Linked DNA regions of Macaca fascicularis. The protein of the gene in region 1 purifies or fractionates together with the protein of each later gene. This does not show direct contact. Links are inferred from orthologs where the notes say so. Each region holds a gene or a part of one and is shown on either strand. Other genes may lie near its edges. The genes, in order: STAU1, IGF2BP1, IQGAP1, RPL14, FMR1, NCL and ILF2.

The links.
Region 2: the proteins of STAU1 (region 1) and IGF2BP1 purify together in Homo sapiens (affinity purification with mass spectrometry; 3 studies listed by BioGRID and IntAct, with this or other methods). This does not show direct contact. The link is inferred for Macaca fascicularis from reciprocal best matches to the Homo sapiens genes STAU1 and IGF2BP1.
Region 3: the proteins of STAU1 (region 1) and IQGAP1 purify together in Homo sapiens (affinity purification with mass spectrometry; 4 studies listed by BioGRID and IntAct, with this or other methods). This does not show direct contact. The link is inferred for Macaca fascicularis from reciprocal best matches to the Homo sapiens genes STAU1 and IQGAP1.
Region 4: the proteins of STAU1 (region 1) and RPL14 purify together in Homo sapiens (affinity purification with mass spectrometry; 4 studies listed by BioGRID and IntAct, counting the BioPlex papers as one, with this or other methods). This does not show direct contact. The link is inferred for Macaca fascicularis from reciprocal best matches to the Homo sapiens genes STAU1 and RPL14.
Region 5: the proteins of STAU1 (region 1) and FMR1 purify together in Homo sapiens (affinity purification with western blotting; 3 studies listed by BioGRID and IntAct, with this or other methods). This does not show direct contact. The link is inferred for Macaca fascicularis from reciprocal best matches to the Homo sapiens genes STAU1 and FMR1.
Region 6: the proteins of STAU1 (region 1) and NCL purify together in Homo sapiens (affinity purification with mass spectrometry; 4 studies listed by BioGRID and IntAct, with this or other methods). This does not show direct contact. The link is inferred for Macaca fascicularis from reciprocal best matches to the Homo sapiens genes STAU1 and NCL.
Region 7: the proteins of STAU1 (region 1) and ILF2 purify together in Homo sapiens (affinity purification with mass spectrometry; 3 studies listed by BioGRID). This does not show direct contact. The link is inferred for Macaca fascicularis from reciprocal best matches to the Homo sapiens genes STAU1 and ILF2.

Annotation. Positions count from the first base shown.
Region 1 is NC_088384.1:105,179,368-105,182,823, reverse strand, and holds part of STAU1 (double-stranded RNA-binding protein Staufen homolog 1), read left to right. Parts: intron 1-1,024; coding exon 1,025-1,100; intron 1,101-1,336; coding exon 1,337-1,656; intron 1,657-2,184; coding exon 2,185-2,307; intron 2,308-3,456. UniProt on the Homo sapiens protein: Binds double-stranded RNA (regardless of the sequence) and tubulin.
Region 2 is NC_088390.1:57,718,337-57,722,268, forward strand, and holds the start of IGF2BP1 (insulin-like growth factor 2 mRNA-binding protein 1), read right to left. Parts: upstream 2,801-3,932; 5' UTR 2,521-2,800; coding exon 2,346-2,520; intron 1,153-2,345; coding exon 1,092-1,152; intron 1-1,091. UniProt on the Homo sapiens protein: RNA-binding factor that recruits target transcripts to cytoplasmic protein-RNA complexes (mRNPs). This transcript 'caging' into mRNPs allows mRNA transport and transient storage.
Region 3 is NC_088381.1:75,033,894-75,037,393, reverse strand, and holds part of IQGAP1 (ras GTPase-activating-like protein IQGAP1), read right to left. Parts: intron 481-3,500; coding exon 372-480; intron 1-371. UniProt on the Homo sapiens protein: Plays a crucial role in regulating the dynamics and assembly of the actin cytoskeleton.
Region 4 is NC_088376.1:103,299,984-103,304,087, reverse strand, and holds the start of RPL14 (large ribosomal subunit protein eL14), read right to left. Parts: upstream 2,801-4,104; 5' UTR 2,775-2,800; coding exon of another isoform or gene 2,772-2,774; 5' UTR 2,664-2,771; coding exon 2,661-2,663; exon of another isoform or gene 2,395-2,660; intron 2,252-2,394; coding exon 2,150-2,251; intron 1,501-2,149; coding exon 1,406-1,500; intron 1-1,405.
Region 5 is NC_088395.1:153,966,523-153,970,692, reverse strand, and holds the start of FMR1 (fragile X messenger ribonucleoprotein 1), read right to left. Parts: upstream 2,801-4,170; 5' UTR 2,477-2,800; coding exon 2,426-2,476; intron 1-2,425.
Region 6 is NC_088386.1:127,382,824-127,386,802, reverse strand, and holds the start of NCL (nucleolin), read left to right. Parts: upstream 1-1,179; 5' UTR 1,180-1,320; coding exon 1,321-1,338; intron 1,339-2,194; coding exon 2,195-2,311; intron 2,312-3,502; coding exon 3,503-3,979. UniProt on the Homo sapiens protein: Nucleolin is the major nucleolar protein of growing eukaryotic cells. It is found associated with intranucleolar chromatin and pre-ribosomal particles. It induces chromatin decondensation by binding to histone H1.
Region 7 is NC_088375.1:107,500,966-107,505,231, reverse strand, and holds the start of ILF2 (interleukin enhancer-binding factor 2), read right to left. Parts: upstream 2,801-4,266; 5' UTR 2,735-2,800; coding exon of another isoform or gene 2,730-2,734; 5' UTR 2,411-2,729; coding exon 2,343-2,410; intron 2,030-2,342; coding exon 1,970-2,029; intron 1,681-1,969; coding exon 1,638-1,680; intron 438-1,637; exon of another isoform or gene 419-437; coding exon 314-418; intron 1-313. UniProt on the Homo sapiens protein: Chromatin-interacting protein that forms a stable heterodimer with interleukin enhancer-binding factor 3/ILF3 and plays a role in several biological processes including transcription, innate immunity or cell growth.

The DNA.
Region 1 (3,456 bases):
GGAGGCTGAGACCTTGAATCCAGGAGTTCAAGACCAGTCTGAGCAGCATGAAACCCTGTCTCTACAAAAAATTAAAAATCAGCCAGGTATGGTGGCTTGTGCCTGTAGTCTGAGTTACAAGGCTGAGGTGGGAGGATTGAGCCTTGGAAGGTCAAGGCTGCAGTGAGCCATGATCATGCCACTGCACTCAGCCGGGGCGACAGACCCTGTCTCAACAACAACAAAAAAGGAACGTAAAAAGAAAAATTCTTGTCTGCCAGAAGTGGTAAGCAGGACCTCGGCAAAAGCCAAGGCTGATCTTCTTTCCCGTCACTGTATGGTCCTGGTGAGATAAACTTGAAATCAAGCCTAATTCATTGATGTCTGCCAGTCGTATTGACAGTGAGAAACAGCTTCAGTCGTGGCCAGTTAATAACTGACTGAGACCCCAGATACCACCAGTATAGATCTTAGACTTGGATTTTGAGTTTTTCATTTCAGAATCTTATAGGACATTCATAGTGTCCTTTGTTACTTCGTAGAAAGGTGAGGTAGTGTTTGACAGAATTCTTAGGTAATAACATTTTCCCCATAAGGGTGTTAATTTTGGAATGTCACCTTATTTTTTAATTGGATATCAGCTCCAGGAAATATTCTTGATTTATTTGTTTAGCTTCAGTCTGAAAGCTTCTTTCCCCACTTTGGTGGGCTCTACCGTCTAGCATCTCTGCTCTTTCTGGTTAAATGCTTCCCGTCTTCCTGTGGGTGCAGAGTGCAGCTCAGCATTCACAGGTTAGTGCACTTTGTTAGATGCTCTTTGTGGGCAGGGGTGTGGGCAGGAGGGTGCGTTAGGAGAAGGAGGCAGGCTCTGCCCAGGTGTCTGTCAGCGTGCCAGTGGTCAGGTGGGGCAGGGTTTTTCTGCCGATTGCCTCAGTTATTGCTGATTGGATTTTATGCAGGTTTAGACAGCAGGAGCTAATTTTTCAATGATCTGATTTATGCTCATGGCCTTTTTGTTTGTTTGTTTGTTTGTTTCTTTTTTAAGACACCCATAAAGAAACCAGGGGATGGAAGAAAAGTAACCTTTTTTGAACCTGGCTCTGGGGATGAAAATGGGACTAGTAAGTGTGATCTTAATATCATCTTCCTCTGAACGTGATTCTGGGATTTGCATGGGTCCTGAATGACAGCAGGAGTCCAGCCAGTGAGGTCCTGCATGCAAAGTGTCTGTATCATTCCCCGATTCCCTGCGCCGCCATGCATGGCAAGGGGAGGGCCAGCGTGGGGTTTGATGGTGTCATCGCGTTTTTCCAGGCTGTGGATGTGGATTCGTGTTTACCGTGTGTGTCCCTCCCAGGTAATAAAGAGGATGAGTTCAGGATGCCTTACCTAAGTCATCAGCAGCTGCCTGCTGGAATTCTTCCCATGGTGCCCGAGGTCGCCCAGGCTGTAGGAGTTAGTCAAGGACATCACACCAAAGATTTTACCAGGGCAGCTCCAAATCCTGCCAAGGCCACGGTAACTGCCATGATAGCCCGAGAGTTGTTGTATGGGGGCACCTCGCCCACAGCCGAGACCATTTTAAAGAATAACATCTCTTCAGGCCACGTACCCCATGGACCTCTCACGAGACCCTCTGAACAACTGGACTATCTTTCCAGAGTCCAGGGATTCCAGGTAACTGTCAGGCTTGAGCTGTGATGGCTGTGCCTCAGGACAGTCATCCTTTGGCTTCTCTCAGAAAATGAACTTTGGACTTTGTTTCTTAAATCAGGGATGGGTTGGGGAGCAGTGGTGGAAGGGTGGCAGGGAAGGAGGTATAGAAGTATTGTAAGCATATGTGGTAAGAGAAACATCTTTATCCTTTAGTAATATTTCAAAATGCAAGCCAACCCTAAAAACAAAGCTTCTAACCACTTGCAGTGTTGTAAATTTGGATTTCAAAGAACGGACTCATCATGCTGACACCTTCTGCCTGGTGGGAAAGGATATGGCTTCTCCCAGTCTAGGGCTTCTGAGCAGACACCTAGGTTCCTGGAAGGTTCTGGGCTGACAGAGCAGGTTTTGGTATAGCCACAGTCAGGCTGAGTTGGAGAGAAGAGCGGGTGATCTCCTTGCTTGTGGGGCCCGGAGCTGTAGCCCTTCAGCCCACTCATACTTGCTGTTCCCTACCCTACCTAACCTCAGCTCTCTTTTCCTCCTTAGGTTGAATACAAAGACTTCCCCAAAAACAACAAGAACGAATTTGTATCTCTTATCAATTGCTCCTCTCAGCCACCTCTGATCAGCCATGGTATCGGCAAGGATGTGGAGTCCTGCCATGATATGGTATGTCACACCTTGGGTGAGGGATTAGGGTGTTAAGTTGTGTGTTTATGTGGAGCCTGCCTTGGTTCAGCTTGTTACTAGCCTGAGGAATGTGGGAGAAAGATTCTCCCATAGACTTTGAGAACAATTAATTCTTTGATAGTGTTCATATTTTTTAAGACTTTTTGTCATAACTGCTTGGATTGATTTCTCACTCTTGATCAGAACTCATCAGCTTTAGTCCACCTTTCCCTTTTCCCTGCTGGTCTGGAGGGGCGACTGGGATCCTGCAGCTCACCTGGAGACTGCACTCACTTCCTCTCTCACCAGAACAAGGAACTGCAGGTCCATGTTCTGGCAGCTGTAAAAACCACTTGCTTTGGTGTTCTATTCAGATGAAATTACTGTTATAAGAAAACTGAGATGGGGCCGGGCGCGGTGGCTCAAGCCTGTAATCCCAGCACTTTGGGAGGCCGAGACGGGTGAATCACGAGGTCAGGAGATCGAGACCATCCTGGCTAACCCGGTGAAACCCCGTCTCTACTAAAAAATACAAAAAACTAGCCGGGCGAGGTGGCGGGCGCCTGTAGTCCCAGCTACTTGGGAGGCTGAGGCAGGAGAATGGCGTAAACCTGGGAGGCGGAGCTTGCAGTGAGCTGAGATCCGGCCACTGCACTCCAGCCTGGGCGACAGAGCAAGACTCAGTCTCAAAAAAAAAAAAAAAAAAGAAAACTCAGAAAAGGAATTGATCAGATTAACAAATCTAAGCAAACTGTGGTGTATTTACTTGATGGGACATCATGCATGCATGAAATTAATGTCTCTGGGTGGGGTGCGGTGGCTCACGCTATAATCCCAGCACTGCGGGAGGCTGAGGCGGGCGGATCACCTGAGCTCAGGAGTTCGAGACCAGCCTGGCCAATGTGGTGAGACCCCATTTCTACTAAAAATACAAAAAAATTAGCCAGGTGTGGTGGTGGGCGCCTGTAATCCCAGCTACTTGGGAGACAAGGTAGGAGAATCGCTTGAACCCAAGAGGTGGAGGTTGCAGTGAGCTAAGATCGCACTACTGCACTCCAGCCTGGGCAACTGGGTGAGACTCTGTTTCAAAACAAAACAACAAAACAGTGTCTCTGAAGATAACGTAATAAGAAAAATACATGATAGGCC
Region 2 (3,932 bases), on another chromosome or scaffold:
GGCCAGAGACTATTCTGAATTGTACCAAGTTTTCAGTTGAAATGGGGGGTGAGGAGGATCAAAGATTTACTGGGAGCTGCTTTTCAACTTGGGACATGAGAGCAAACTCTACACTGTCAACATGTTTAAAGTCTGATTTGAGAAAAGTGGAAAGACTCTGCCCTTACACTTCCCAGCCAGAGTTCAAGGAAAGATTTCAGAGTTCAATGCAATATTTGAAATCCACCATGAATTCTCGGTAAGCATGATGGAGGTACCCCATTTTGCTGAAGAGAGAGAATAGAGAGAGGGTACTGGAACACACACACACACACACACACACACACACACACACACACCCCATTCAATTCATCCACGGAGTTCTAGACCCTCCAAAGAGCCCCAGCTCACAGCCTCAACACAAAGCTCTCACCCCAGATGGTCCCCTTGTAACAATGGGCTGAAGGAGTGGGGGTAGGGGGGCTCGAAAAGGATAGTACAGCCAAGGCATATTCTTTGGAAAATCCAGTTGGGAAGAAGGATGATGTGAGATATGAGGGATTGGGGGTGGGGGGGTCCATGGAAAATAAAGTCTTTGCCTGTTGCAGAAATATAAATAAAATACAAGCATAAGGGGATTCTTTGGAGGACGGGAAACTGATTCCACATCACTTAGGAGTAGAAGGGCAATCCACTTAAGAATTATGGTGTGGAAAGAGTGGGAAAAACAGAAAATGAGGCCTGCTACGAAGTTGCAGAAATCGCCCTGAGTCTGAACTCTTCGAAGATTTTAAGGTTCACCACAAAAAACGGCCCCACAAGTTGAACAAACTCCAAAAGGTTTCTCCCCTATTGATTTTCTTTCCCCTTTAATTCTACAAGCAACATCTTTTAGCCCACCCCAGCCCCAACTTATTTTTTTTTACAAGCTGTAAACCACCCATTACAAGATCTTGGCCAATCTTCCCTCCCTGCCCCCAACATCCGGAGTTGGGGGTGGGAAAGACCAGTAATGGGTTTCTTCCACTGGAGACGCTATGGACCCCTGAACACAGCTTCTCAGCACACCCCCGCGGCCCCCCCACCCCCCCCAGAAAAGAGCTCTTTCCTACCTTTGTTTTTTGGGCACCGAATGTTCAATCTCTAGGCGTTTTCCTTGTAATTCTACTTTCCCTAAAGATTAAAAAAAAAAAAAATTACCATGAGAGCGTGAACAGGGGTTGGGGGTGGGAAGAGGAAGGGGAAAGACACTAGGCTAATTCAGGAGTTACTGGGATTCGAGATCTTCCTAGGAATCCAGGCAGTGGCTTCTGCAGCCAGATGGGAAAAAGGTTGCTCTAGGAATGGTGGAGTCTATAAATTCGTTATTATTCATTTTTTAATTTTTGCTTTATTTAATCACTGAGGCTCGTTGAGTGGATCGCTCTGGAATCCCGATTTGGGAAAGGTGCGAGGCCATTTGTGTGGTTGCGCTGCCTACATTGCTCCCAGATGTGGGGAGAAGGAGCTAGGAGAGAAAGGGCTCCCCGTTCCTCAGAAAGTGGGGCGCGGGGCGGGAGGCGGTGTACAGAACGAAACTTTATTTTTCTCTGTTGGCCAGGAAGAAGGGCTTGGAGCCGCGGAGCGGTCACCTGTCGGGACTGGTTTGGGAAGGGGTGGACCTGGGGGAGCGAAGCGGGGCCCGGCGGGGAGGGTGCCTGGCTGCCGCCGCGCGCGCCTCTCGGCCCAGCCTCGGCGTCTCGGGAAGCAGCATGGCGACCCGGCGCCGCCGCCGCCGCGCCACTCCGCTCACGCCCCACTTTCAAATCAAAATGGCTCAAGCCCCAGGCCCTAGGCAGGAGGCAGGACCCCCTTCCTTGCAAGTCCTGCTAGAGGGCTGCATTCCCCACGCTAAACGGAGAGATCGCAAGCGGTCCGGGGGACCCCTTCCACGCCTGGAAAGGCCTAAGACTGAGGAAGGAGAGCCAGGGTTTTCCAGCTGGGGGGCCGTCCACCGGCGGACAGGGAGGGGCTGGACGTGGAAATAACGCCCAGCCGGGGGTCATCTCCGTGTCCCTAAATCCACCCCCCCACTACTGCCAGTGGGGGCTCCCGCCCCGTCGGTGGGGAGGAGGGATGGGGGAAGCCAGAGCTGCTTATCTCGGGCTGGGAGGAAGGGATGAGGAAATCCCGAATGTTTCTGCGCGGGGGTGGGGGGCGCAGAGCGAGGGAGGGGGCATCGAAGGGGGTAGGTCGAGGTTGGGTACAGAGGCCAAGCCCCGCAGGCCCGGGAAGAGAGGAGTTGGCGGGAGAGGAACCGGAAGGTGCGGGTCTCCGTTGTTCGGGGCTTTCGTTGTGGCTTTTCCGGGAGGTGGCTGTGCTCTTACCGGAGAAAGTTTCGATGGCCTTCATCGCCCAGTGCTCGTCTGGGCAGTCCACGAAGGCGTAGCCGGATTTGACCAAGAACTGGCCGCTGTAGGAGATCTTGTGCTCCGCAAACACTTTCTCCAAGTCCGCGGGGGTCACGCTCTCGTTGAGGTTGCCGATGTAAAGCTTGTTCATGGTGGCGGTCTCGGGGCAGGACGCGGTCCCGGGCAAGGCCAAACGAGTGGACGCGGGCGGCAAGCCTCTTAGGCCGAGAGGCGGGGAGGCCGGCGGCAGGAGCCGCAAACTTTCTTTGCACCCCACCCCAGAAGTTGTCCCGAGCCCAGGGCGGGGAAGGCGGCCTGAGGGCGCGCAGAGGTCGCGGGAGAGTTCGGGGAGAGCCCGGGAGAAGTGCCCGCGGCGCGCAGGGAGACGGACGACGCGGCGCAGCTCCTTCCCTTCGGTCCGAAACCCCTCCGAGAGGGCTGGTGTGTCACGTTTCTCCGCGGCCGCCCTGGCGCCGCCTCTAAATAAAATCGACTTGAAAAAAAATGGAGCGGAAAAAAAAAAAAAAAAAGGAGAAGCCACGTGGTGACAGCCCCCACCCACCCTGCAGGGGAAGACCCCCGACGCCACAGGGCCCCTCGGCCCTCCGGCCAAACCCAGCAATCTCCCGCCTGAGGGTGGGGAACTCAACTCACCCCCGTGGTAAACTGGGGCGGTGGGGCAGCGTCCCTGAAGCTCTATGGCCCCTTCCCCCTTTGCAAGAACCTGGCCCCTAGGGAAGCGCCCCGCCCCCACCCATCCCCCTACCCCAGCCCGAACTGGGGGAGGATGGTCCAGCCCAGATCTCCCAGGTCTTAAAGGGTAAAATGTACGGTTATTTTTTATTCGTTTTGGGGGGCGGGGTTGCTCACCCCACCCCGGTTAACTGCTAGCGACTGACAGGCGGGGGACGGCCGAGATAGACAAAGAGAAGCCGAAGACTCTGGGGTCTTCAGGAGAGGGTCGCACGAGCTGGTGATTTAAAAAGAAAGCCACCTTTTCCCTAGATGTTTAAATGGGGGGGTCTCTGCCTTCACCACCCCAGCCCCACTAAACTCCCCCGCCTCCGGGGATGCACGACCGGGGGACCCTGCGAGCGCGGGACTGGGAAGCTGGGAACACGGGGGATCCCAGTGGAGAACGAGGAAGCCGCGGGAAATCATGTTTTGAGATCCCCACGGGAGAAAGGGTGGTTCGCACCCGGGGTCCGGCTGTTAAATGATAACGTTACGGGGTCCTGGGGGAAACTCGCGGAACTGGCCGGAGATGACCCCAGGAGAGAGGGACAGTGGGACAGAAAGAAGAGGGGTGATAGCTAGGGCTAACCCGAGCGAACCGAAGGGGGAGGTCTTAGGGAGGGAGTGACCGGGTGGAGATTTGAATGGTCCCCTTTTCCCTCCGAGTCGGGGACAGACAGGTGGAGTTTCCAGCGCCCGCACCACCCAGGACACTGCTGGCAGCTCTCTGGGCCCTAGGTTCGGGTCTCGGAACTTTGTTTGGGGTGCAGGATTCCGAACCCGGCGGGAAGGCGGGAGAGGGACGGAGGGCGGGGGGCTAAGCGCGAA
Region 3 (3,500 bases), on another chromosome or scaffold:
TTTAAGTACCTACATCAAATCAAAATGAGAAAAAAATTTCAAGCTACTGAGTGGACTTACAATTTTGCAATGTCAGCATGTGTACTTATGCATTTTGTTCAAGTCCAAGGTATCAGCTCAATTTAGTGGCAGCACTAAGTGGAAGCTTCAGATAAATGTTTTCTGAAGATTTACATCTGCAAAAGCTCTCCAGAGTGTACACACCAAACCAGACGTGCTGCAACACTCAGCTTCTTTCCCCACAGTGTGGAGCCCAGCTCACTGCTGAATGTAGACAGCTTTCCTCAGATGAGTCTCCTCTTTATCTAGTTCTCCTACTTGGACAAGAATCTCATCCAGAAAGCTTTTGGTTCCTGCTGGTGCATACCCACCTGATAATGTAACATAAAAGTCTCCATTTGAACTCCCATGAATTTGGCTTTCACTTCAAAGTCTCCAACTTCTTCTGTTGGACTGATTTCAAAGATAACATTTTTAAACCTGTTGAAAGATAACATCGTAAGGGTATGGTTTTTATGTTCTTATATAAAAATATTCTGTGAAATGGGGAAAGGAGATGAACCAAGTCTTCAAGGGTGAAAAGGGGTAGAAAATACAGGTCAAAAGTACTTCTGCACCTGAAGCAGCACGGATTGCCATGCCTAAGTACCATCTGCTCTGGGACTTGGAGAGAGGAATGGCAACCTCTCTCTGCCTGCAGCACTTGCATTCTATAAAAGAAGAACCACTGAGGAGTGCCACAAGTGGCCTGTGAAGGGATGACATCATAGTAATTCTCTTCACTTCCACATGGCCAAAAATGAAACCTAATGATAAAAGGAGAAAACAGGAAACTGGGGTGGAAGGAGATGGTATGTGTGTTTGAATACATGCATGTTTGAGGACTGGGAGAAGTAAATAAACAAAAGGGGGTCAGTAAAAAAAGCTCCAAGGGAGGAGGTTTTTCTAGAAAGAGTAGGTGCTGTGTACATAAGCACACTCAGTATTACCAAAGATAAATTGTTATTATTAAAAATATTTAAGTTATCACTCATTCACAACATGTTACCTGCCAGGAAATTTTAGGAAGCCAAAAGGAAAAGGGGTTATGCAGCCGGGCACGATGCCTCACATCTGTAATCCCAGCACTTTGGGAGACCGAGGCGGGTGGATCACAAGGTCAAGAGATCGAGACCATCCTGGCCAACATGGTAAAATCCCGTCTCTACTAAAAATACAAAAATTAGCTGGGTGTGGTGGCATGCAACTGTAGTCCCAGCTACTCAGGAGGATGAGGCAGGAGAATTGATTGAACCCGGGAGCCAGAGGTTGCAGTAAGCTGAGATAGTGCCACTGCAGTCCAGCCTGGTGACAGAGCAAGACTCTGTCCCCCCCAAAAAAAAAAAAAAAAAAAAAAAGGATTAAGGCATCCTCTGGGTGATCAAAGTATAGCACCCCAGATTTCCAGAACTCAACTATGGAGCTACCTTACCTATTACAAACAGGGCTGAGAACCATGAAAGATGCAAAAAGGTCACTGAGAGTTAAAGGAAAAGTCACAAAAACCCATGCACTGAAACATACATGCATTTTATTCAACTGGAATGCCTCACGGGTTATTCCTTAAAGATATTTATCTTAAGTGATAAATAATTTTATCAGATTTAGTTGGCTATTTAGTTTCTAAACCCATAGAAGCAAATTAAAAAGAAGAAAGAAAGGCAAATAGAGGTAGGCACTTGAACAGTAGTGGAAAATAATGACAAAAAGAAGGGCAATATTGACTCATGCCTGTAATCTCAGCACTTTGGGAGGCCAAGGCAGGAGGACTGCTTGAGCCCAGGAGTTCAAGACCAGCCTGGGCAACAAAGTGAAACCCTGTCTCTACAAAATATAATTAGTTGGATATGGTGGCACATGCCTATGGTCCCCGCTACATGGGAGGCTAAGGTGGGAAGATCTCTTAAGCCCAGGAGGTTAGGGCTGCAGTGAGCTGTGATCATGCCAGTGCACTCCTGCCTAGGTGACACAGCAAGACTCTTTCTCTAGAAAAAAATTTAAAAATTATGTACCCATTAAAAAGGATGCTTTCAATGAATATAAAAAATGCTCACAGCATAATGTTATAAGAAAAAAGTTGGATACATGACCATAAACAGTATTGTCCCAGTTTGTGTTAAAAAATATTAAGTAGTTATTTTAGGCTGGGTGCAATGGCTCATCCCTATAATCCTCCCAGCATTTTGGGAAGCTGAGGAGGGCAGATCAGCTTAAGATCAGGAGTTTGAGACCAGCCTGACCAACATGGTGAAACCCTGTCTCTACTAAAAATACAAAAATTATTTGGATGTGGTGGCAGGCACCTGTAATCCAAGCTACTTGGGAGACTGAGGCAGGAGAATCACTTGAACCTGGGAGGCGGAGGTTACAGTGAGCTGGAGGTTGCAGTGAGCTGAGATTATGCCACTGCACTCCAGCCTAGGCTACACAGAGAGACTGTTCCCCCTCCAAAAAAAAGGCCTGTAATTCCAGCACTTTGGGAGGCCGAAATGGGAGGATCACGAGGTTAGGAGATCAAGACCATCCTGGCTAACACGGTGAAACCCCATCTCTACTGAAAATACAAAAACTTAGCTGGGTGTGGTGATGCATGCCTGTAGTCCCACCTAACTGGGAGGCTGAGGTGGGAGAATTGCTTGAACCCTGGAGGCCAAGGTTGCAGTGAGCTGAGATCGCGCCACCATACTCCAGCTTGGGTGACAGAGAGACTCCGTCAAAAAAAAAAAAGGGGGGGGGGGGAGAAGAAGAAGAACAAAAAAAATATATATATAAAGTAGTTAGATAAATAAGTGGGTGAGTTGTGGATAATCTTTATGTGAATAGAAAAAAAACACATTAAAATGATTTCCCTGGTTATCTCTGGCTTGTGAAATTACAGGTGTTTTCTTTTTTATGCTTTACTGTATCTTCAAAGTTTAATAATGAATACATATTATTTTAGAATCAGAAAACTGTAAAAGTTCTTTTTTTAAAAGTTTTTTTTTTCCCCAGACACAAGAAGGGAAAGATCAGTAGCCTGAGGTCACAGGGCTGACTGAGCAGAAGCTTAATAAATGCTTGCTAATGAGGCTGGGCCCAGGATCTATGCGAGGATGACATGTCAGGTCCATGAACCAGGTGCAAAGCAAGCTGATACTTCCCAGAAAAGAAAATGAAGGTTAAGTGCCTGGTTCCTAGCTGTAAGTGGAATAAAGCAAACTCCTCTTATTGTTACTCTTAATTTATTCTTGGTTCAGAAACAGAAGAAATCCAAGGAGTGGCTTCCTGCTTTAATGATGAAAAATTAAGATCAGACCCAAAGAAGTGAACATGACCTGAGACAAAGGTTCTACAAACAAGGAAAAGAAAAACTCTTTTATGACAAATTAACTCTGAGTATGAGGCCTAATTCTACACATAAAAATATATAAATACGTAAAAAATATTAAAAGTAACCATCCAGAAAAGAGAAATAAAGACAA
Region 4 (4,104 bases), on another chromosome or scaffold:
CATTCACTCAAATAGCTGGGACTACAGGAGTACACCACCACACCCGACTAATTTTTGGACTTTTAGTGGAGATGGGGTTGGCTAGGCTGGTCTCAAATTCCTGGCCTCAAGTTATCTTCCCACCTTGGCCTCCCAGAATGCTGAGATTACAGGAAGGAGCCACTGCACCCATCCAAGCCATTCATTCTCATAACAAACAAAGTAATTAATGTTAACTCTTAGGCTCTTTAAAAAAAAATTTTATGGTAAAAATTTGTGGCCAAACATCCTAAAAATAAAATCCAAGGTGCTCCGGAATCCAAGGCAGAATTACAAGAGTACCTAGTGAAAAATCCAAGTTACCAAGTATTTTCTACTGCTTTGAACTTTGACAAGTATCCTCAAGCTTCACTCCTAATTGTGCTGCAAACAATGCGGTATGTCACAGTAGCAGCAGCACGGCTATGTTCACTCGAGGCTATTCAAGTGGCATGAGGGGACCACCAGTACTTCCATTATGTGTTAATACACGTACTGCAATGTCTGCAGCACTCAGCATACAGCAAGTTTTTGACTATTTTTTAAAGTATGCAAAATTACATTATTTAGATCTACTTTATCTGTAGTGGCCACGTGATAGTACATGTTCCACTGCAACCATCACTGTGAGTTGAATTAACTGTACAGCAACACACTAAAGTGTTTTAATTTTCATGTCAAAAAAGAACCGCTATTCACCGTCTCATTTAAATGTAAGCTAGGGATAAAACCTTTCATGTTAAATACTGTGTAACTGACACACACTAAGAGCTCGCCTAATGATAGCTAGTATCAAAAAACCTAAGACTTAGTATTTTTGTTACTTTAAGCTAAAAGTTGGGCAGAGACCAGAAGAAAAGAGGATGGCAAGTCTAAACAAAGGCAAAGCCCTAAACTACCAGGGTAGAAAAGTGACTTTAAGGCATTTATTTTATTTATTTTCAAGACAGGGTCTCACTCTGTCATCCAGGCTGGAGTGCAGTAGCATGATCATGGCTCTCTGCAGCCTCGACCTCGCTAAAGTGATCGTGCGAACTCAGCGCCCCCGCGGCCCCCCGACCTGGGATTACAGGCACGTGCCACCATGCCCAAGAAATTTTTTTGTATTTTTTGTAGACAGGGGTTTCCGCCATGTTGCCCATGCTGGTCTCGAAACTCTTGGGCTCAAGAGACCCTCCCATTGTGGCCTCCAAAGTATTAGGATAACAGGTGTGAGCTATCACCCCCAGGACATTTTAAAAGTAAATAATCTCTGTCTACTTCTATAACCTAAATCCCTCTTCAGGATGGCTCGGAATCTTCCATATTGTTTACTCTAAAACAAACTTTTACTAGTATAAACAAATCTGGGGATGGGAGGGAGGAGTGATGATTAGTGGATAGTTACCTGTGTGGAAACTTGAGGATGAAATCAGTGAGCTGCATGCACTTGAAAGGCATGGCCTGTCTCCTCACTTGAGTGCAAGGTCCATCGACCAAAGCCTAGAACACAAACATCAAGAACTTCAGTGCAAAATCTAACAGCAATTAAAATGGTCAGATGGTTCTGTAAAATTACTTATCCGTTCAGGGCCATCAAACCCACACTACTATTTAAATAAAGTGCTCAGAAAAGACAAGGATTGTCCTATCTGGGTCACGTATGTTTACTTCTTTTGCTCAACACAAACATTTCTCCACACCGTTAAATGCTCCTTTTTAAACTATTAGTACCCAATAGAAACCAACCACATGTAATTTACAGGCAACTTTAGGACTCTGATCCCTTTTCATTTATAGCCAGTGGTCAACTTCTTAGTTTGCCTGTCTCAAATACACAGCAGTAAATACAAAAGTGCTTTCTATGTGTTGGATCTGTTCTAAACTCACTTTATGTATAGTAACTCATTTAAAACTAACCAACTTTTCAGTCCATAACTGGCTCTACCTTAAGTGGCTAACACTTAAATTCAATACTAAGAGCTAATTTTAGACTGTGCTTACAACCCTTACCATTACCTGTTTCCTCAATGGTAAAATAAAGCTACCACCCACAGCAACCTCACCTTACACAGCCATCGAGACAATTCATTATTGTTAACTGCAAAGCACATGTCCACTGCCATGTTTAGTAAGAAGTTGTGACACTTACCCTGTTCTGATCAATAACATCTACAATCGCGACCAATTTTCCGGCATGAGGTCCAAAGGAGACATAGGCCACCCGGCCAACCTCCACGAAGCGCCTGAACACCTAAAAGTGGGGGAGAAAGGGCAGTGAAACTTACTTATAAATACTTACTAGATATGTTACCTTCTACAGCTAAAGACGACATGGTTAAATTCAGCGAAAAGGAATGCTGCAGGGGAACACCCGCCCGAGCGCCAGGCGCCAACCTGGATGGACGAAATCGGCAGACGCCTCAGTAGCTAAAGCCCGCTCCCACCGCCACCGCCTGCCAGCTCTCAGTTCCGCAAGGCCCAGGCGGCGGGCGGGACAACGCTCTCGGACCCCGAGCCGCCTCAGCCGTCCAGCTCCAGCGGCGGAGGCGCGCAAGCGTGGCCCAAGGCGCGCCAGGCCTTGCCGGGCCCTCCACGCGCTCGCCAGCCGCGAGTCCGGGAAGGGTCAGTTTCCGGTGCACAGCCGGCCCGGGGACCCTCACCATGCGGTTCCCGGGACCCTCTGGGAGCCGTTCGGCGCCTCAGCTTCCCAGCAGAGGTGGAGGTCGAGCTGCATGGTCGCCAGCCCCTGAGCCCGCATCAGTAAGACTCACCATGTTGGCGGCGTTAGGCGAGAAGGAAGGAGGCCCGCCCAACCGTGCGCATGTGTAGAAGAACGCACCGCCCCTTCGGTAACGAGACGCCGACGTGGGCACCGATTGGTTGGTGCGTGAACCCGTGCGTGCGTAGGCGCAGCTCGCTGGAAAAACATGGCGGAGCCGGCTGGAGCCGAATTGCTTTCTGGCAAAGTTGGGCGGCGAGATTGTCTTTGGTGATTTGGATTGGAGAGCTGCAGGAAGATCATCGCTTAGTAATTTAGGGTTAAGAGTACGGAAGCTATGTCTTCCGTTGATCGCATGCCATTTGACTTCCTTTTTATTTCCCCCAGTTTTACTTGTTGGTTATTCATGGCTTAGTACTAAGCCTGTTCGCTCCTCACGTTCTCTCCCTAATCTCAGTAACTTTGTTAACCTTTCATTTTAAAGTAACTCACACTTACAGAAATATTGCTAAACTAGTACAAATAATTCCCATAAGCCCTTCTAGATTCCACAAATGTTACCGTTTTGCACGTGCTATATCATTCTGCCATTTGAGAGGACATTGCCGACATGATGTCCTTTTATCTCTACTTTTTTTTTTCTTTTTTTTTTTTTTTAAGACGGAGTGTCGGTCTGTTGCCCAGGCTGGAGTGCGGTGGCGGGAACTCGGCTCACCGCAACCTCCGCCTTCCAGGTTCAAGCGATTCTCCAGCCTCAGACTCCCAAGTAGCTGGGACTACAGGCGCGCGCCACCATGGTGGGCTAAGTTTTTTGTATTTTCAGTAGAGACGGGGTTTCACTATGTTGGTCAGGCTGGTCTCTTAACTCCTGACCTCGTGATCTGCCCCTCTTGGCCTCCCAAAGTGTTGGGATTACAGGCGTGAGCCCCCGCGCCCAGTGTTACATTCTTTTATAGAGACAGGGTCTCCCTCAGTCGCCCAGGCTGGAGTGCAGTGGTGTGATCACGGTTCCCTGCAGCCTCTAACTTCTGGGTGAAGATGATCCTCTTGTCTTGGCCTTCCAAAGTGCTGGGATTACCAGCGGGAGCCACCATGCCCAGCCTATGTATACATTCTTAAAATGTGTATTTCCTAACAACAAAGAGATTCTCTTATGTCGTCAGTACACTTATCAAAATCAGGAAATTAATATTGCAATAGTACTGTTATCTAACCTGCAGTCCTTATTCAAATTTATAAGTTGTTGCTCCTATGTTCTTTGGAGCAAATGGGGAAAAAAAATTTTTTTCCAGGCTCTTGGTCTAATGGAGGATTACAAATTACATTTATTTATCAGGTCTCTAGTCTTTAACTGATAGTTTTAGATTTAACTCAAATTTGTAAAA
Region 5 (4,170 bases), on another chromosome or scaffold:
GCATAAAAGTAGTGGCTCTGGTGATTGCTAAATCTAACTTTTAAGTTTTTAAGAATAAACACCAGAAGATAGAGAGATGTCCTTGGAAATATGGTGGTTATGTCAGGCGAATCAAAGTCTGAATTCAATTATACTCAAGTTGTTTGTTTAGTTTTTAAAGCTTTTCTATCAATTTGATGAACAAGGTTCCTATTTCTTTTTCCATAAATGTAACACTTATCCACAGCAGTTCATTTTTAATTGGTTTATATTTCACATCTTTCCTGTCCATCCCACTGGACAAGTAACTCAGTTTACTTTTGCTTTACTTTTTAAACTCACAGCAAAATTATAAGTCATATAAAAATTGCAAGCTTTTTTGTTACAGAAACTATTTTTCCATCAGTACAGACCATTTGAGATTTTCTTAGAAATCAAACTTAATTAAATAAACGTAACAGCAATTTATCTGACACACACTTGATCAAGTATTACATTTCTCCTCAGGGAACTAAGGGGCAACCAACCTATTCTTCATTCACCTTCAAGTTAAACAACTTCGTTACAAAACGAAACAGAAAAGGAGGAAATTAATAGCAAAATAGGAGGTATTTCTTATATTCCAGTCAGTTTGCAAGCAAAATCACTGGAGCAAATCATAAGTTGCTGGAAGAGAACAGTAAGTACTTCAAGGCCATAATGTGCTACTTGCCCTCTGTGGTAAGCAAACTTTAGTGGCATCCAATCTAAGTTTGTATCACAGATCAATCAGAATCTTGCTTAACCATTAACCCTTACTCACACATATATATGTATATATATTATAGTTATTAGTGCCAGAAATCTAGTGACCAAAACCACTAATCTAGGACCCTGAACGATTCTACGCAAACTCACCAGAAGAAATTATCGATCAATGAAATTAAAACTTTGCAGAGTCAACTGAAACAATTTTATATTTATGAGAGTGTTAAGAACATAAACGTGGGGTTACCTTTTGCCTCCTTTTACAGCAAAAGGTTTTAACTCTGTGCTCAAAGTATGGAACGGTTTACATACTCTACTCATTTATGAAATATACTCATCTCCAAATGTCTTCATAAAATTGGTAAACACAGAATAAAGTCAATTGTTTATTTTCCTATAGCCAAACGTGTCCTGTTTGAAACATTCAAGTCATTCTATAATACATTTAAGAATTGTGCTGGACACTGCTTCCTTCCACATGCACCTTCTATTGCCAAAATACTGTAGTAAGGTGGGATATTATTTCAAGAGGTTATAGACGTTCAAAAGGAAATGAGAATCTATAGATTAATAGATCTACAGCAACTACGTACCAACAAACGCACAACTGCTACATCAAATTTGTAAATCTTCTTTTTAAAACTGAAAGGTGTTAGTTGATCTGCAATGGTGTAACTTTATAAAGTACAGTAAACCCATGAATGCCTATATAAGGCCTCAACAACTCAGTACAATTCAGTCCACTGCAACACCACAAATTCAAAGGAAATGTGGTCAAGTTCTTAGGGGCACAAAAATATTTTCGCTCAGTTAAAAAAAAAAAAAATGCCCTATTTATAATATACTCTCAGTTAATTTCCTGAAGTTTCATGGCATATATTTAGGTCTTTGGAAACTTAAACATACACACAAAATTTTTAAGTAGCAGAGTTGCTAATGGTTTTAGACGCTGAAGCATGTGCATTCCTGAATATATCCCGTTTAACAAAAAGGGGGGCGCGAATATTCACGATGATCAACTTCTTCAATGCATTGCTGGGCCATGTTCTGAAACTTTTGGTTCTAAAATCTCCTCCGAAATCCACAAAGAGAAGCCACTAAAAATCAGTTGCCATTGTGATTTGGTGCCGACTACCGCTTCTTACTACTCTTTCTTCACAGCCCTCGCCCAGAACAGTGGAGCTCTCCGAAGTCCCAATGCTAGACCGGAAAAGAGAAGCCAAAGGAGACCTGAAACCCTCTTGGCGCTGCAGGAGGCGGTCCGGCTGAAGCGTCCCCCGCTCCTCCACAACTACCCACACGTCAGGCCCGGATCCCGCTGGGAGAAGATATTTAGGAAAGGAGGAATAAGCCGTCGCCGTCACTTAGCGCCGATTTCGGCTCTTCCCGCCCGGCTCTAGTACCTGCCGTCGGCCCTCGCCCATCCCCATCTCACCCCGGCGGGGCTCGGCGCCGAAAGGGAACCCTCTCCTCGCTGGTCTCTCATTCCGATAGGCGCTAGGGCCTCTCGGACTCGGAGCGGGGCTCGAGGGTCTTCCAACAGGCCCCAAGTCCAGTCCTTCCCTCCCAAATAACATCCCGCCGAGCGTGCCCTGGCACGGCGCTTGGGAAGAGGGCCCCGGGCCTGCCTCCCGCCGACACCAAGAAGAAAAGGGAGGGAAGGAAGGGCGAAGATGGGGCCTGCCCTGGAGTCAAGTACCTTGTAGAAAGCGCCATTGGAGCCCCGCACTTCCACCACCAGCTCCTCCATCTTCTCTTCAGCCCTGCTCGCGCCGGGAGCCCGCCCCCGAGAGGTGGGCTGCGGGCGCTCGCCGCCGCCGCCGCCGCCGCCCGCCGCCCGCCGCCGCCGCCGCCGCCGCCGCCGCCCGCCGCCCGCCGCCGCCGCCGCCGCCGCCGCCGCCGCCGCCGCGCTGCCGCACGCCCCCTGGCAGCAGCGCCTCCGTCACCGCCGCCGCCCGCGCTCGCCGTCGGCCCGCCGCCCGCTCAGAGGCGGCCCTTCACCGGAAGTGAAACCGAAACGGAGCTAAGCGCCTGACTGAGGCCGAACCCTCGGCCCGCTGCGCGTGTAAACACTGAAACCACGTCACGTGATCAACGCTGTTCCCTCCCCCAGCGGGCTCAGCCCCTCGGCCCCGCCCTCTCTCTTCAAGTGGCTTGGGAGCGCGCGCATGCGCGCTTCTGGGAACCGTCCGGGGATTCGGGTCGAACGTCAGAGGCGCTGGCCGGGCGTGCGCGGGCTCGGCGGAGGGCGGGAAGGCTGAAGGGCGGTGACAGGTCGCACCGCCTCGCGAGGGCCGGAACGCCCATCTCTGCAGAGGTGCACTCAGTGGCGTGGGAAATCAAATGCATCCGGTTATCCCAGTTCGGCCTCGCTAGGATTCCCGGGGGATGTCTGGTTTGGTTTGGTTTGTTTCAAAGTAGCGGAGAGCCCGACTGAGCGGGAGGTGGAGTGGAAGGCGAGAATAGGGGTGAAGGATTAGACAGAAGAAGACTTTGAACTAGGAACGGTGGCAACCAGGGTGACCCAGGCTTTTGTGACCTGTAGAGGCAGAGGGTGAGGAGTCACGCCCTCTCTCACCAGATTTTGGGTGGCCCTGTGGAGACACCCTGTGCCCTTTAAGGGACATGGATTGAGTCAGGACCTCAAAATGTTAGCCTTTTCTCAGACCCAGCTTTGACCCACGTACTCACCTTTCCTCAACTAATTTTCATACTTTTCACTTGACCATATATTTTTTAAAAATTGGGTTAAGCACTTGAGGTTCATTTCTGCCCCTACTCTATGTGCACCCTGTACCAGAGGGTGGGGTGAACACGTGTGTAGCAGTCATGCGTCCTGTCTACAGGGGCCGATGCACCTGCTTGCAACCCTTTACCTTCTACTGTGAAACAAACCTCAACTTTTTCTTATTCCTGTTTTGCACCGTGCTTATAGCTGCCTTAATCCATGTTCCCTTCGGGATGCTGGTACCCAACTGAGAAGTTTATGTACCTATCATGTGCCAGGCACTGTGCTAAGTGCTAGCGAGAAGTCGGTGAGCAAAACAGAAAAGAAAAAAAAAAGAAGAAAAGACTGCCAGCATTGAACTTAGAACCTAGCAAAGTAGATGGACATAAATCAAATTATCAGGCAAGTAAATGAGGAGTTGCAGCTGTGATAAGGGATATGAAGAATAGGTGCTTCCATGATGGCGGAACATGACCCAGTCTGGGGTGGAGAAGGGGAAATGATTCCAGCTGGAATATGGCAGGTGAGAGTTAACTGGTAGCACTGCGTTGGCCGAGGCAGGATGACCTGCCTCAGGCAGCTGCCCCAGAATGAGAGGATGTTGCTGCTGGTGGAACTCCAGCTTTAAAGCAGTGGATCTAGGGCCACATTCCTCAAGACCATAGTAAACAGGAAAGACCTTTTGGACTAGAGTCTTTGAAGTAGTCACATGAGGC
Region 6 (3,979 bases), on another chromosome or scaffold:
CAATCCCCGACTCCCCGGTTCATGCGCCTCGGTCTCCCAAAGTGCTGGGACTGCGGGCCTGAGCCACCGCGCCCCGCCTGAGGTGATTTTTAACAAGTACAGCCGTAGCTGCAGGTATCCTGGTTCTGTAGGAACAATGAGGTATGGATGGATCCATACCTGGACCCATGGATTGGATGGATCCCAGGCAGGCCCTGGACGGAGGGAAATGCTCTGTTGCTAAGCCCGGCATCGAGGGAGGCCCACCCTCAAAGCTAACCGTGGAAGTCACTCCGGCCTCCTTCGCCCTGCCGCCGGGGAACCCTGCCGGTGGCTCTCGACCTGCTCCCGAGCCATCTGGTGACACTGACTTAGCAGCCACCACCTTAATTGGCGCATTCGACGCAAATAACAACCAGGGAACCTGTGGGCGGTCAAAGGCCCGGCTTTGCGGTCGGCCCGCCCAGGCCCCTCTCCTTGCCCTGTGAGGCCAGAAAGTTACTTCTCCGAGGCCGTTCCCCATGACGAGAAGTATCTCCCGCCTGAGGTTCTGTGGGGTAGGGGAGGTTCGTGCATTTCTCACAGAAAAACCTCGCACAGACCCGCGACTGCCTTTATTAACGGCTCTCAGAAGGCTGCCTGCAGCCGGGGGTGTCTCCAGTCCCATGCTCGCGGGCAAGCAGGGCTGAGCTGTGCCTCCGAAAGGGCCAACGGGAACTCCGCGGTCCCTGAACTTCCGGGGCTGGCGGGCTTCTTTCTCCAGGGCCACCGGGAGCCCCGGCGTGAGTGCGTGCCGGGGCCGCGCGCGGGGTCTTTGAGGAACTCCAAGGCTGCCCGAGCCTAGGGAGCCAGCCACATTGGAGATCCCTAGACCGCCCGATTCCACCACCCCCGAGGTCCCCTCACAGCCGGCGCCAAAAACGCCAGTCCCACGGCGCAGGCCGGGACCCGCGCGCCCACGGCCCAATCAGCGCCCGCCTTGCACAAAGCGAGCCCCGCCCCCACGGCACGGCTGCCAGCCCCTCCCCCTCCCGTGGCCGCCTCGGCCCGCCCACTCCCCGCCCCGCGCCGTTCTCGGTTAGAGGCTCGCGATTGGCTCAGGGGGACTGCCGCGAGCTCTGGTTGGTCGGCACGGAGTCACGAGGGCGCCGTCGTCGCCTTTCCACAGGCGATTACTGGGCAGGCTCAGTCTTTCGCCTCAGTCTCGAGCTCTCGCTGGCCTTCGAGTGTACGTGCTCCGGGATCTTCAGCACCCGCGGCCGCCATCGCCGTCGCTTGGCTTCCTCTGGACTCATCTGCGCCACTTCTCCGCTCCACACTCCGCCGCCATAAGCCGCCATCATGGTGAAGCTCGCGAAGGTAAACGGCCTTGAGCGCGAGCGCAGACGTCTAGGCCTGCTCTCCGAGGGGCGAGCGCGGCGGCGCGGGGAGGAGGGCCTGCGCGCAGTCCCGGGCGCGTTCTAGGGCGCCATGCTGCGGGAAGTCTCGCGCGATTAGTGGGGAGGTCTCGCGGCTTCTGGCTAGTTGGTGGCGAGGTGAAGAGCTTCTGCAGGTGCTGGGGGCGGCGAACGCGGCGGGAAAGACGGAGTTACTGAGCGCGGGGAGGGGGCGCTGGGCCCCGGGGTGGGGAGATGAGACCAAACTCCTGCGACGCATACGAGTCGGGACCCGACTCCTGACGCACGTGCCCGGGTGCGCGGCCTGCCACGTGGGCCGCGCCGCGTGGGTCCTGGAATCTCCAGAGGCACCGGTGCCTTGCGCCAGGAAATGGCGGTATACGTCCTAGTCGGAGTCCTGGCCTGGCAAGCCGACACGTGGTGGGCCCCGGAAGGTGGCTCTGCCGCGTGCCTTTTGCGCCGTGTTTCGGGCACGTGGTGGCCTACCAGGTACCCCCACGTGGCCGCGCCGCCTCTTTAAGGGGCGGGGTTGTCTTGCTGGGAAAAGCATAATGTTCATGAGAAAACCAAGGTAGTTACTTCTTACCTTCGGGCGGGTTTTCTGTTTGTGAAGCCCGGGAGGAAAATTGTGGGCGGTTGAGAGTAGTCCATCTTGCATTGCCATCAGGACTCGTTTTGATGTTGTGCTGTTTGGCACTATGAGAAATGGATCTGAGAAAGGAGAGATGATGGCGTTTTACTATGAACAGTAATGGCAAAATATGAATGGCCTGAAATGTTGAGGTGGAGGTGTAATGACCTACTTGTGTCCATTTTAGGCAGGTAAAAATCAAGGTGACCCCAAGAAAATGGCTCCTCCTCCAAAGGAGGTAGAAGAAGATAGTGAAGATGAAGAAATGTCAGAAGATGAAGAAGATGATAGCAGTGGAGAAGAGGTAATTTTATCTAGCTTAATGCAGAATTGTGTTAAAACTACAACAATGGAGAGTTAAGACATGAAATTGGATGTCTGTGGCTAAAATAAGATTTTATTCATCCAGGTATGTCCTATTGTAGTGGTGGTTTCACAAGCTCTTCACTGACATGTCAAGGTGTCATTTGGCTAAGTATTTGAATGTGAGTTTGAGACAAGAGGTCTGGGGATCTCCTTTCCATGTGCCTCTGCAGGGCAAGGAGTGTGATTTGTTGTGTTAAATCATTAAATTTTTCCAGTTTCAACATGTTAGCCTCACCCCGACATGTAGAGCTGGGCATTGTATTCAGATCTGAGGATAACCTTCCCAGATTCCTTTCCTAGCCTCCAATTAAGATTAATTGGTCTCCATTCCATTATATATAAACTTTGTAATTCTACTCACTGCGTTATAGTTATCTTTGGTGTAGACTGAGGGCTGCCACCTCTTTGTGTTAACATTGACCCTCTTTACTCTTTGGCAGTCCTGGCCTTTTATTTGCTCACTGTAAAGACATCTGAGCACTGAATTGTGCTCAGGTTTCTCGTTGAGAATTGAATAAAAGTTTTATTCTTCCACACATTGCCTAATAAAACTATGGGATTTTCATGTAGCTAAACGATGGCTTTTATCAAACTAACATGCTCACTCTTTGATGTGTGATAGTTTTGTAAGGGATAGTTATGTTTAGCCTATTTGATCTTCATTTTATCTCAGGTCCCAAGAATTGAGCTTCACTGGACTCAGTACTGCCATCCACCATAGGAGCCCCAAATGATTTAATACGTTAATGCTTGGAGCCTCCTAGGTGTAAGGTTCTGAATAATTTACGCATAGCAATTCATTATTGTTATACGTGTAATATGATACTATTACCATTTTCAGATGAGAAAGTTGGGGTTTGGGAAAATATGAGGTGCAAGAATTCAGAGGTCTGGTTCAGAGGTATTTTAAGTGTTCAAAAGGGTTCCTTATGGCTGGGTATTCACCTGATAATAAGGGCTCTGACCTAAGACAACATAACAGAAGCCTGGAGTTTAACATGCTAACATGTGTCTAGCGCATGTGGTCTTGAACCAGAAGCATTGCCAGAATCTAACACTCACTGGGACCATGGTTATCCTTTTGGGTGTGGGGCTGGACTTACTGGTTTGGTTTTCATTTATTCTCAAGGTTGTCATACCTCAGAAGAAAGGCAAGAAGGCTGCTGCAACCTCAGCAAAGAAGGTGGTAGTTTCCCCAACAAAAAAGGTTGCAGTTGCCACACCAGCCAAGAAAGCAGCTGTCACTCCAGGCAAAAAGGCAGCAGCAACACCTGCCAAGAAGACAGTGACACCAGCCAAAGCAGTTGCCACACCTGGCAAGAAGGGAGCCACACCAGGCAAAGCATTGGTAGCAACCCCTGGTAAGAAGGGTGCTGCCATCCCAGCCAAGGGGGCAAAGAATGGTAAGAATGCCAAGAAGGAAGACAGTGATGAAGAGGAGGAGGATGACAGTGAGGAAGATGATGAGGATGATGAGGACGAAGATGAGGATGAAGATGAAATTGAACCAGCAGTGATGAAAGCAGCAGCTGCTGCCCCTGCCTCAGAGGATGAGGATGATGAGGATGATGAAGATGATGAGGATGAGGATGATGACGATGAGGAA
Region 7 (4,266 bases), on another chromosome or scaffold:
AGTATTTTCTCCTAATCCCTTCCATATGAGCTGACTCAATACTGACCTAGGACTTTAAAAACACTTCATTCTGGCCTTGAATATATGGAAAGAGAACAACTCTTTGTCCCCAATAAAAATAAGAATGCATATGTAATTTGTTTATATATTCACCTGGCTATCTCCACCCACAATGAGAAATAAGGAGAACAATTAAACCCTCTGTGGATTTCAGGCTCTGTTAACACCATTCTTAACCTTACCAACAGTTACTCTTTACCAATACTTTTACCTGCTTTAGAGACATTTCTGGAAGACAGCCAAAAGAACATACCTGTTCAGCAGAATTAGGAGCCAGGTCCTGATTCCTCTTCAGCAAGGCCTCACTGAAGGAGGTTTCATCAGGTGCTGGCTTGACCCGGGGGAAGGCCATTTCACACTAAACCAGAAGTAAACAACTACATTCCATTTGCCGAAAATAATATACAGGAGAGATTGTTTTTTCTATTACTACGACAGAAAAAGGTTAAAAATAGAAAATTCTACACTTGTTTTTACTCCTTAATTTGTTCAATTAGCTGGGCATGGTGGCTCACGCCTGTAATCCCAGCTGAGGTGGGAGAATCCCTTGAACACAGGAAGCGAGGCTGCAGTGAGCCAAGATCGTGCCACTGCACTCCAGCCTGGGCAACACAGTAAGACCCTGCCTCAAAAAAAAAAAAAAAAAAATTTGTTCAAAGGCCAGGCATGGTGGGTCACGCCTGTAATCCCGGCACCTTGGGAGGCCGAGGTGGGCAGATCGCTTGAGGTCAGGAGTTCAAGATCAGCCTGGGCAACATGGTGAAACCCCGTCTCTACTAGATACCCAAAAAACAGCTGGGCATGGCGCCTATAATAGCAACTACTTGGGAGGCTGAGGCAGGAGAACTGTTTGAACCTGGGAGGCAGAGGTCCTGATTCCTCTGCCTCCCGGGTTCAGTGCAGTGAGCCAAGATTGCACCACTGCACTCCAGCCTGGGTGACGGAGTGAGACTCTGTCTCAAAAAAAAAAAGAAAAAATGTTCAAACAAGGATACAAGCTGGAATAGCCATAATTTAAGCTATCACTATCTTTATAGTAACAAATTAGCCATAGATACGATTACTTGTTCAGAACAAAGATTATAATCATGTTTAATGCCAACAGTAGTCAAGGAATTATTCTCCCCACCATGCTTACACTGTTTCTGTAGGTAAAGCAACACACAGTTGACTCAAAACCCCAAGTCTTTTCAAAAATCACTTTCCCCCTCATTTCAATCACCATTTTTTTTTTTTTTTTTTTTGGTAGTGGTGCCATCTCAGTTCACGCAACCTCCGCCTCCCGGGTTCAAGCGATTCTCCTGCTTCAGCCTCCCAAGTAGCTGGGATTACAGGCACACGCCCAAGCAACTTTTTTATTTTTACTAGAGATGGGGTTTCACCATATTGGCCAGGATGGTCTCAAACTCCTGACATCAGGTGATCCATCCGCCTCGGCCTCCCAAAGTGCTAAGATTACAGGTGTGAGGCACTGTGCCTGCCCTCTTCAACCACTATCTAACTTCATTAACTGGGAGATACTAGGCTCCATTTCAAGAATGGCCAGAAATTGTGTATTATTAACCCAAGGTACTCACCAAATAGAAGTCAAATGGGATATGTGGTACAAAGGGCCTGAACCTAAAACATGAAAAACAGCCAAATTATTCCCTATGTAGGAATCAAGTGAGATTTAAATAACACCAACAATTTTGAAAACATGTCAGACCTCAGAATGAGTGACAAAGTCTCTGGGGAGGGAGAGAATCATTCTTAGCATAGTGGGGCCAAATTCATTTAGCAGGAGTGCGGAAAAGACCACAGTTGGCTCTCACAAAACCAAGTGACATTAGTCTATTCCAAAACTCCTATTTAGATGACAAGCAGAAACTAACAACTAAGTGCAGAGATGCTAAAAGCTGGCACTCACCCTCCTCCTGGGCCTCCTCTGGAACCAAAGCGCCCACCACGACCACGGCCTCTGTCACCCCTAGAAATGCAGATTTTATTTTGATCTCATTGAAGGAATACCCACCGGCCATGTCATTTTAAGTTGGCTACTTTCATCCCTCGGAACCTCCCAACGGTAGGCAAGAGACCCCACTCACACACTTCTCCCCATTCCAAATGGTGCCCAGTTACACCCCCATAACCTCCTCATTCTGGATAAGTTAATCACAACCCCCCATCAAGTAATGATGGGGCTCAGACAGTGAGCCCTACACGAAATAACCCATAATCCTGGGCCACACGAATCCTAATACTTCGGAAGCTAAAGATTGCTCATTTCTTCATTAACGTACACATTTATCGGGCATGTCCTGTATGTCAAGCCCTTCGCACTGAGGATGAATGCGGCTCGCTCCAGCATTCTCAGCCCGGATGACGGGGACGGAGGGAAGGTGGGGAGCTCCTCCGTGGACTTGAGGACACCTCCTCATCGCAACCCTTCAAAGAGAGGTGTCGAACCCGCCTCCCCACTCCTGGGCCCCGGCCCCAACCCCATCCCGGGCCCGTTTCCCCGCCTCTACCGGCCTCACTCTCTCCCACTCTCCTAGACCAGGAGTTCTCAGGTTTTTGGCCAGCTCCCGGATACATGGTCCTTTTAGGTACTCCGACTTCTTTCGACCCACGTTCCCAAAGTTTTCCGTCGAATACCTGAAACCTTTCGACCACTTCGACCCCCTTACCTCATGGCGCCTTAAAACACGAACAATGGAGGCCGCACCAACCGCCCCTTTCCTCTGAGGAGCAGACAACTGAAGAGGAGTCTTGCCGGCGTGTCCCAATAAAACCCGGCGTGATTGGCTCCCGCCTTACCCCATCGCTTATGCCTATTGGCTTACTTTGTCAAACCGGGCTTATGAACCAATAAAAAACGCCTACTGTGTCAGGAACTAGCCAATAAGAACTGGTTCTATAGTAATGACGAATTTTTGATCAGACATTAGGTGGCACTGAAGAAGTCAGGACAACGACTACGTGGTCTTCTATAACAGTTATGAGAACGTTGGCCTTCAGATAGCAGAGTGGCGCAGCGGAAGCGTGCTGGGCCCATAACCCAGAGGTCGATGGATCGAAACCATCCTCTGCTATCGGAATTTTTTTCATTGCCCTGTACCGTACACGTAATTTACATTACATTCAGTGAATGAAAATACCTTGCCGATTTTCCTACCCCAAAAACGCAAGCGGTATCAGCCATTTTTGCCACTAGCAGTTGAAGTTGATGGGGAAAAGGGAGTTTAGGCAACTATGAACACTACACGTCTACAAACTCGAAGCAGGAGAAACAGGTTTCAGATAGGAGGAGTATATTGATTGAATTAATGTGGAAAACAGGTGTTCCACCCGCCTCAGCCTCCCAAAGTGCTGGGATTACCGGCCTGAGCCACCGCGCCCGGCTTGGTTACATAAATTCTTTAGTGGTGATTTGTGAGATTTTGGTGCACTCATCACCCGAGCAGTATACACTGAATCCAACTTGTAGACTTTTATCCCTCATCTACCTCCCTTCCATACGTACTTTTTTGATATTTAATTTACTACAGCAGAACGTAAACATCTTAAGTCTAAACGTATTCTGTCCACATAACCACCATCCAGATTTAAATAAATGTTATTAATTTAAAAAAAAAAAAAAAAAAAAAGGGCCGGGTGCGGTGGCTTGTGCTGGCGGGCACTTGTAATTCCAGTTACTCGGGAGGCTGAGGCAGGAGAATCTTGAATCCAGGAGGCGGAGGTTGCAGTGAGTTGAGATGGCGCCACTGCACTCCAGCCTGGGCGATAGAGGGAGACTCCGTCTTAAAAAAAAAAAAAAAAAAAAAAAAATCTTGCTTGAGGTTTGTTGAGCTTCTTGAATCAATGGCTTGAGGTTTGTCATCCATTTATATAATTTATTAGCTATTATATCTTCCAGTATTAGTTTTACCTATTATTTCCCTCCTTCCTGAACTCCAAAGACGTATTAGACTTTTCCCCCAGTAATCTCTTTGTCTCTTACCCTCTCTTCTATTATTTTATTTGTACACAGGGTCTCACTCTGTTGCCCAGGCTGGAGAGCAGTGGTACACCATCATAGCTCACTGCAGCCTCGACCCCCTGGGCTCAACAGACTCTCCCATTTCGGCCTCCCCAGTAGTTGGGACTACTCAGAGGCACAGGCCACAACACTCTGAGCTAATTTTTTTTTTTTTTTTTTTTTTTGGAGATGGAGTCTCCCTCTGT